2 linked regions of the Canis lupus familiaris genome follow. The protein of the gene in region 1 interacts with the protein of each later gene in a pairwise test. Links are inferred from orthologs where the notes say so. Each region holds a gene or a part of one and is shown on either strand. Other genes may lie near its edges. The genes, in order: BPTF and MAZ.

Region 1 (3,807 bases):
AGAGACCTCTCCTCACATAAATAACAGAGAACTCCAAAACAAATGTTTATCATGCAAATAAATTATTTTAGGAAGATTTCCACATTATGATGAACTCGGTGTGATTCACAGGCATGTTTCCTATGTCTTATGTTTCTATGAATTACCTAATAGAAATAAAATACAAACATTCCAGAAAGTGGACTATCCAAGTCTCTTATTCTCATTCCCAAGGCAAACACATGGCAATAACTCAGAAAGTTAAACCACAAAACCAACTATATTTGACATGTTTCTTCTGTCTTGAGGAAAGTAAAACTCAATTTCATTTTAAAGATTTAGATCTTTTCAAGTCTCTTAACATTTTCCCCTAAAGTTTTACCCTAAGTAAACTTGAGTACCTCCCAGCCAGCCAAATTCAAGATTCTCTGTTATCTTATTTCCATTACTAACCTGGCTTATTAAATTTCTGCTTCCCTCTTATTATCTCATTTTTTTTCTGTAAAAAATGAGATATGCTTACTCAAAAATGCTTTTAAGACTTTCTCCCTTCCCCAAATACATTTTAAAGTACATACCTCCAAGTGATACCAAAGGTTGGTCTAGGAGAAGGATAAGGCCATATGTCCAAGGCAGGTTTTGCATTGTAATTAAAATAAGGGACTTCTCGGATTCCTCCTTTCCTGGCCAACTTTTTTAAGTCATCATTAGGTAAAACAAATATGCTCTTCTTGCTGCTCTTGGTGACAAACTTTCTATACGATGGCAGAGCTGTACCTGAACGAGTCTTCTTGGGTCTTGAAAATTTCATGAGTTTCACTTTATCTCTTGTGGAATACTCTTTGCTCACGGTCATAGATGTCACTAGAGTGCCCCCTGCAGTGGTCAGCGAATCTGTCACTGTTGTGGTGACCACAGTTTTGCTCTGCTCCTTCACAGAGATGATGTCCACACTGCTGCCTGTGGAGGGTGTGGATAGCTTTGTGACTGTTGTAGTGGTGGTTGTGACAGTGGACTTGGCACAATTTTCTGTGGAAGAGACCACAGTCTGCTTATCCCCTTTTGCTACTTTGATTACAGTTTTTGATTCTGTGGCCACCGTGGATGTCATGGTGGTGACTTCTGTGATAACTGTTTTTCTCTTAGACTCTCCGTTGATATTTTCATCTCTGTTGGTGGGCAGACCATTTTCATCAACGAAATCATTACTGAGGTTAGATTCCTCTCCAGAAGTAATAGGTGAGGGAGTAACTTTCTTAACTTCTGAGGTTTCAATTTCCATATCTTCTACCTGATTTGTTGAACTGTTTTCTGGACAAGACAGTGGAGGCATGGTCTCAGACTCTTTGGTTGATGGCAGGGTGTCTAGGCCATCTTGGTAGTCGCATGCAGCATCTGAAGATCTCAGTAAACGTGATTTTGTTTCCAAGTTGTTTTTTTCATTAAAATCTTCCATGATGACATCGCCATTCATGAATGGCTTTACAGCAGATTCTTTAACAGTCAATGACTTAATATCATTTTCAGGAATTATTTTATTTATATTATTAAGCTTTGATTCAAGATCACCACTTGCTACTTTACTCGCAGAGATTTCTTTCAAGGATTCCCCTTTTAAATATGTTTTGGGTTTATTATCTTTTCCATTTATTTGATAAGTACTTGCTTTCTGTCCTTTCTTTTCAGACTCTCTATTTTCATTATTCTTTCTGTCAGTGCTACTTTTTAGATTGATTTGATCAATACATTTATTAACTGATCTCTCCTCTAATTTCTGTTCTTGACTTGGCTTCCTACCATTTGCTTCAGTTACCTTACCCTGTGGTCTCTTATAGTTGCTAGTGGACTTATCTGGAACAAACTCACGTTTCAATGGTTCCAAGCCTTCAATACCTTGTTCTTGAGTTACAAATTGCTCAGAAAGACTTTCATTGCTATTCTGAACAATCATATCTTCTTCACTGCTGTCCTGAATAGACATAGTATCAGAACTATTTTCCAAAGTGCTGTTATATTCAGAGATACATCCTAGTTTTCCTTCAAAGTCTACTGCTTTTGACAGAGATGGGGGATCTCTATCATCAGTACTTTTAGGTACTGATGGAAGTGAAGGGCTCTGGGAAGGAGAAACAATGGTGTCATTATCCTCCTGTATGAGTGTTTTTTTGTTCTTATAGATCAAAGTACCAATTCCATCTGCACTGGCTAGTTTGGAGTCATCAATGAGAAAGTCACTTCCTCTTGTTTTAACCTTATTAAGTTCCTGGCCTTGACTGGTAGGTTGAGAGAGACTCTCATTTATGTCATTTCCAACAGAATTCTGTTTCTGACAGTTTGTCTCTGGGCTCTGAATGGAGATGTCATCTAACATTTGCTCTTTTGGATAAAGTCTGTTTGTTGTATGATCAGGATCATTGATTCTAAGAATTGAGGAATCGCTTTGTGAACATCCTCGAATCACATCTTCAGTTTTACCATTACTTGTGTTAGGGCTTTGTTCTTGTCTAAGCGAGTCACTTTGACACCCTTCTTTTGCTTTTGTTATTACTGATGATTCAGAAAGGCTTTTCAAAGAACTTGTACACGTCTTCCCTATACCCTTAATTCCACCCTCCAACTTCATTTTCTCAAGGCGCTGTTTTTCTTCCAGTGTAAACTGTTTAACTCTCCTTTCAAGAAGTCCATCTAGTTTGGATGATTTAATTTTCTTTTTATAACTAGTCCTTAGATGGAAGCCCTCACTGACATTGACCACATCTACTTGAGAACCTTCCTGACAGTTTATATGCGGCTCTGTTTTCACATCATCATCTATCTCCATTGGTTCTTCCTTAAAGGGTTTCTCATTGTCAGAATCTAAAATTTCTTGTACATCTGTGAAACAAACACATTTATGTAAGTGCTAACTTTTAGTCTCAAATGTGGAATTCACAATATTTTTATTTTAAAAACCACCAATGTTTATTTTCATTTCACTCACGGGGCTTCAGTGTAAATATACATATTTGAAAGCTCCTGATACATGATTAAGATAGGTCAATGGACAGGGCTAAACTTTATAAAAGGTTAAAAAACAGACATTTTGTAAATATTTAAATACTCTGATTCTTAGTATCTGAAGTTGGAATGTTAAAAGAAAAATTACTTAGCATGTGACAGTTACCCCATACTCCAGTACCTTCATGGAAAATTTTATGTAAGATATTTCATAGTCATAAAATATCTTAAGGCTTATACATTATCTAGCTTACCTAGTTTTTAAAGAATGACTTTTCACAAAAGACAGTATAAGTTCCTCAGAAGGCTGGACACAGAGTTATTAGCTCATGACCTGGGATTCCACTACTAGGTCTTTACCCAAGAGGGATGAAAACATATGTCTACATAAGAACTTGTACAAGGATGTCCTTATCAGTATTCATAATAGCCAAAAAGTAGAAACAACCCAAAAGTCCATCAATTGATGAATGGATAAACAAAATGTGGCACGTCCATACAATGGACTATTATTCAGAACTAAAAAGGAATGATAAAATGCTGACATATGCTATAACATGGGTGAATCCTGAAAACATTACACCAAGTCACAAAAGACCATGTATTACGTGATTCCATTCATACAGAATATCCAAAATAGGGCCAATCCATAGAGACAGTAAGTAGACTAGTAGGCTGGGGGGATTTAGGGAGGATTAGAAACTGGGTACTAAGGAGTATGAAGTTTATTTTTGGGGTGGTGAAAATGTTCTAAAATGGACTGTGGTGACAGCTGAACAGCTCTGTGAAATACTAAAAACCACTGTACATTCTAAATGGGTTAGTTATATA
Region 2 (4,537 bases), on another chromosome or scaffold:
CCCCTCCCTTCCCCAGCCTGTGCCCCGCACCCAGCTTTAATGCCCCTCTCCCTTTCCCTCCTGTGTTGCAGGCGAACATCCTGGGTCTCGCCGCGTGCCAGCGCAGCGGCCCCTCCTGACTGCCAGCTCCTTTCCTCTGTCATTTTTTTTTTAATCCTTATATAATTGCGTGTCGTGTAAATACAATTTTTACTCCGGTGTTTCAGCCTGATTCTTGGGACTGTGGGGGCGGGGCCAGGGGGTATAACTGCCCTTGGGTTGGGCCACAAGCTCCTCGGCATAACTTCTTCGGGCGCCATCTTTGGGAAAAGCTGGCAGGAACGAAGCGGGGTAGGATTGTAAATAAACCGCTGGCGTGGGGAGGGGGAAACGACGGTGGCCGAAAGGAAACAAAAAAGTAACGCGAAAGCCCGCGGACGGCGACCGTTAGGCGGGCGCGCGCTTCGAGTTTAGCCCCGCCCCATCCGTACCCCCGGCGCGCGCTCCCCTGTTCTCCCGCTCAGCAACGACAGCGGTTTTATGCGCGTGCGCGCGAAATAACGGCCGCTGGAGAAGGGAGGAGGGGGGGTGGAATCTTTGAAGGGGGGGGAAGAGAGAAGCCGCCCTGTCTCCCGCGCGCCCACCACCTGCGCCATCGTCAGCCAATCAGCGGCCGTCTCAGGGGTCTCGCGCTTGGGGCGACTCCGGCTGCTGGGTGGCTCCCCCGTCCCTCCTCCCGCCAGAGTCCCTCTCGTACCTCCCCCCTCCCGCTGGCCTCGCGCGCGCTCGCGCTCGCGCCCGCTCCAGCCTCTTGTGTGTCCTCGCGCCCCCCGCCCGCCCTCCCCGCGCGCAGTGTGCTCCGCTCCCCCCACCCTCCTCCTCCTTCCCCCCTCCCGCTCGCCCCGCGCGCCTCCTCCCTGGGTTCCCCCTCCCCCACTGCCGCCTCCTCCTCCTCCCGCCCCAGGGTGAGCGCGAGCCACCTCCCTCCCTCCCTCCGCCATGGATCCCGGCAACTGGAGCAGCTTCATCTTCCAGGTAACAACCCCCTCCCCCCGCCCCCCCACCCCCCCTTCCCACACCCCCTCCCGCCCGCCCTCCCTCCCGTCCCACCCCCCCTCCGCGCGCCCGGTGCGCGCGCAGCTGTCCCCCTCCCTCCCTCGCGCCCTCCCCCGCCCTCCCCGAGGCGCCGGCTGGGCGCGCGCGCGGCGGGGGCCGAGGCTGCTCCCTCGCTCCCCCCACCCCGCCCCGCCAGGCTCCAACCGCCGCCGCCGCCGCCGCCGCCGCCGCCGCCCGGGCCCCCGCCCCCCGCCCCCGGCCCCCGGCCCCCGGCCCCGCGGGGCCTCCCGCCCCCACCCAGGGGGCGTCGCCGCCGCCGTCGCCGCCGCGCTCCGCGGCCCGCCAGGCGCCCTCCTTCCCTCCCTCCCGCCGGCCGGGGTGCGCGGGCGGCGGGGCGGCCCGCGGGCCATGCGTTCGGCGCGGCCCAGCCCGGCCGGCCGGGGGCGGCGCCCCGAGCCCGGGCCCCGCGCGGCCCGCGCCCCCGGCCCCCGCTGAGCCCCGGGGGCCCCGCCGTGGCCGAGGCCATGTTCCCCGTGTTCCCTTGCACGCTGCTGGCCCCCCCCTTCCCCGTGCTGGGCCTGGACTCCCGGGGGGTGGGCGGCCTCATGAACTCCTTCCCGCCACCTCAGGGTCACGCCCAGAACCCCCTGCAGGTCGGGGCTGAGCTCCAGTCCCGCTTCTTTGCCTCCCAGGGCTGCGCCCAGAGTCCATTCCAGGTGAGTAGGGGCCGGCCGTGGCGGGCCGGGCCGGGAGGGCGCCGACCCGCGGCCGCGGCCCACACGGCGCCTTGTCTTCGCAGGCCGCGCCGGCGCCCCCACCCACGCCCCAGCCCCCGGCGGCCGAGCCCCTCCAGGTGGACTTGCTCCCGGTTCTCGCCGCCGCCCAGGAGTCTGCCGCCGCCGCGGCCGCCGCCGCAGCAGCTGCTGCCGCCGCCGCCGTCGCTGCTGCGCCCCCGGCCCCGGCCGCCGCCTCCACAGTGGACACAGCGGCTCTGAAGCAGCCGCCGGCGCCCCCGCCGCCGCCCCCGCCGGTGTCGGCGCCCGCGGCCGAGGCCGCGCCCCCTGTCTCTGCCGCCACTATCGCCGCAGCCGCGGCTACCGCCGTCGTAGCCCCAACCTCGACGGTCGCCGTGGCCCCGGTCGCATCTGCCTTGGAGAAGAAGACAAAGAGCAAGGGGCCCTACATCTGTGCCCTGTGCGCCAAGGAGTTCAAGAACGGCTACAATCTCCGGAGGCACGAGGCCATCCACACAGGAGCCAAGGCCGGCCGGGTCCCCTCGGGTGCTATGAAGATGCCCACCATGGTGCCCCTGAGTCTCCTGAGCGTGCCCCAGCTGAGCGGAGCCGGCGGGGGAGGGGGAGAAGCCGGTGCGGGCGGCGGAGCGGCCGCCGTGGCCGCGGGTGGCGTGGTGACCACGACCGCCTCGGGGAAGCGCATCCGGAAGAACCACGCCTGTGAGATGTGCGGCAAGGCCTTCCGCGACGTCTACCATCTGAACCGACACAAGCTGTCGCACTCGGACGAGAAGCCCTACCAGTGCCCGGTGTGCCAGCAGCGCTTCAAGCGCAAGGACCGCATGAGCTACCACGTGCGCTCACATGACGGCGCTGTGCACAAGCCCTACAACTGCTCCCACTGTGGCAAGAGCTTTTCCCGGTGTGCACGGGGCCTCGGCCGCCCACTGGGCGGGTGGGGAGGGAGGGACGGCAACGGAGGTGGCCTGGCCTTGGCTGGCGGGGAGGGAGGCGGTTTCTGAGGATGGGGACCGGGAGCCACTCCCCGGGAGGAGGGAGGAAAGCCTCTCCCGGTTACCAGGGAGCGGGGGGTGGTACTTAGCCAAGGAGGTGGGTCCTCCGGTTGTAAGAAAGCTTCGCGTGGGAGGAGGAGCAGCCCGCCCTGCGGCAGGGGGAGGGATTTCCTGCCACACCGGGACTCCGGAGCCTCGGGTCGGGGCGAATTGCGGGCGTCTTTGGAAGGGCCTGTTGCGCTAAGTTAGGCAGATTTGGGAGCACGTCCACACTCCAGGGCCCTAACCCCAACCCCAACGTATTCTCAGGCCGGATCACCTCAACAGTCACGTCAGACAAGTGCACTCAACAGAACGGCCCTTCAAATGTGAGGTAGGAAGCCCGCCTCCTCCTTTCCCGGTTTTCATGATTTTGATCCTCATTGTAGCTGTCTGAGCTCGGCCTCTCAGACCCCCTTTTTCTCTCTTTTCTTTTTGCTTTTTCACTCCATTTTCTCATCCCTTCTTCAAGACCTTGTCATCTCACTCCCATTTCCTACAGATCAAAGATCCCCAAGGCTCTGATTCCTTTAACCTCTTGTTCCCCTCTCCCTGCTCCCCGAAGCTCTAACTCTCCTGACAACCCCCACGCCCCTCCCCCCTCCCCAGAAATGTGAGGCAGCTTTTGCTACGAAGGATCGACTGAGAGCGCACACAGTACGACACGAGGAGAAGGTGCCATGTCATGTGTGTGGCAAGATGCTGAGCTCGGCTTATATTTCGGACCACATGAAGGTGCACAGCCAGGGCCCTCACCATGTCTGTGAGCTCTGCAACAAAGGTACATGCTGAGGGATGCTGGGAGGGCCAGGGACAAAGGGCAGGGGCAAAGCCAGAGGCCCTTCCACAGATGTGGGTTAAAGGTGCTGTAGCCAAGAGCTCACGGCTATTAGAGCCTTTTAGGAAGCAAGGGGAACAACATCCGACGACCGAACCTCATTAAGTTCTAAGAGGTCTTGACTGGAGGAGATGAGCTACTAGCAAGAGTGGGCCTCTGGGGGTGGGGAGGAGGAGCAGGATTCGGCTGCTTTGGGAAAGGAGCAAGGAGCAGTCAAGAGAGCCAGTTCCCAAGGGTTGGAAGGCAGGGTTTCAGCTGTGCATCCACAATGGTGTGCTCTTTGGCTTCTGGGGCAAGTGGAGTATGCTGGCAGGGGATTAACAAGCTCGCACCCTGCCCTAGTAGCAGAAAGCTGCTTTTATACAGCTTCACAGATTGACTGAGCAATTGGAATGAGACCGTATGGGGCCCTGGAGGGAGGGGACACAGCCGTCTCTGCTGAGGGTCAACTCTTCGAGTGGCTAGAAATCAGTGGCCTGTCACCCCGGGAGAGGTCCCCCTAGCCACAGAAAATAGGTTCTGTGGACACCAAGGCTGAGAAGCTGACACCACTCACCCAGGCCCCAAGCTTAGGGAGGGGCGATGTTCCACCAGCCCCAAGAGAGTAGTTGGCCCCAGGCTACCAAGGATGTGGTGGGAGGAGGACAGGGCCATCTGAGGAGGGCGTCCCCGGCCTAGGAGAACCACCCCGTCTCTGGGGTCTCCGCCTGGCTGACCCCCCATCCCCCCATCCCAATCCACCCCCCCCCCCCCCCAATAGGCTTCACCACAGCAGCATACCTGCGCATCCACGCGGTGAAGGACCACGGGCTCCAGGCCCCGCGGGCTGACCGCATCCTGTGCAAGCTGTGCAGCGTGCACTGCAAGACCCCTGCCCA

Evidence for each region.
Region 2: the proteins of BPTF (region 1) and MAZ interact in a two-hybrid assay, tested with the Homo sapiens proteins (2 studies listed by BioGRID). The link is inferred for Canis lupus familiaris from reciprocal best matches to the Homo sapiens genes BPTF and MAZ.

What each region holds. Positions count from the first base shown.
Region 1 is NC_049230.1:14,279,704-14,283,510, reverse strand, and holds part of BPTF (nucleosome-remodeling factor subunit BPTF), read right to left. Parts: intron 2,854-3,807; coding exon 558-2,853; intron 1-557. UniProt on the Homo sapiens protein: Regulatory subunit of the ATP-dependent NURF-1 and NURF-5 ISWI chromatin remodeling complexes, which form ordered nucleosome arrays on chromatin and facilitate access to DNA during DNA-templated processes such as DNA replication, transcription, and repair.
Region 2 is NC_049227.1:18,029,651-18,034,187, forward strand, and holds the start of MAZ (myc-associated zinc finger protein), read left to right. Parts: upstream 1-1,518; 5' UTR 1,519-1,559; coding exon 1,560-1,751; intron 1,752-1,834; coding exon 1,835-2,691; intron 2,692-3,091; coding exon 3,092-3,155; intron 3,156-3,430; coding exon 3,431-3,602; exon of another isoform or gene 3,603-4,333; intron 4,334-4,419; coding exon 4,420-4,537. Other genes in the region: kinesin-like protein KIF22, read left to right, coding at 72-119. UniProt on the Homo sapiens protein: Transcriptional regulator, potentially with dual roles in transcription initiation and termination.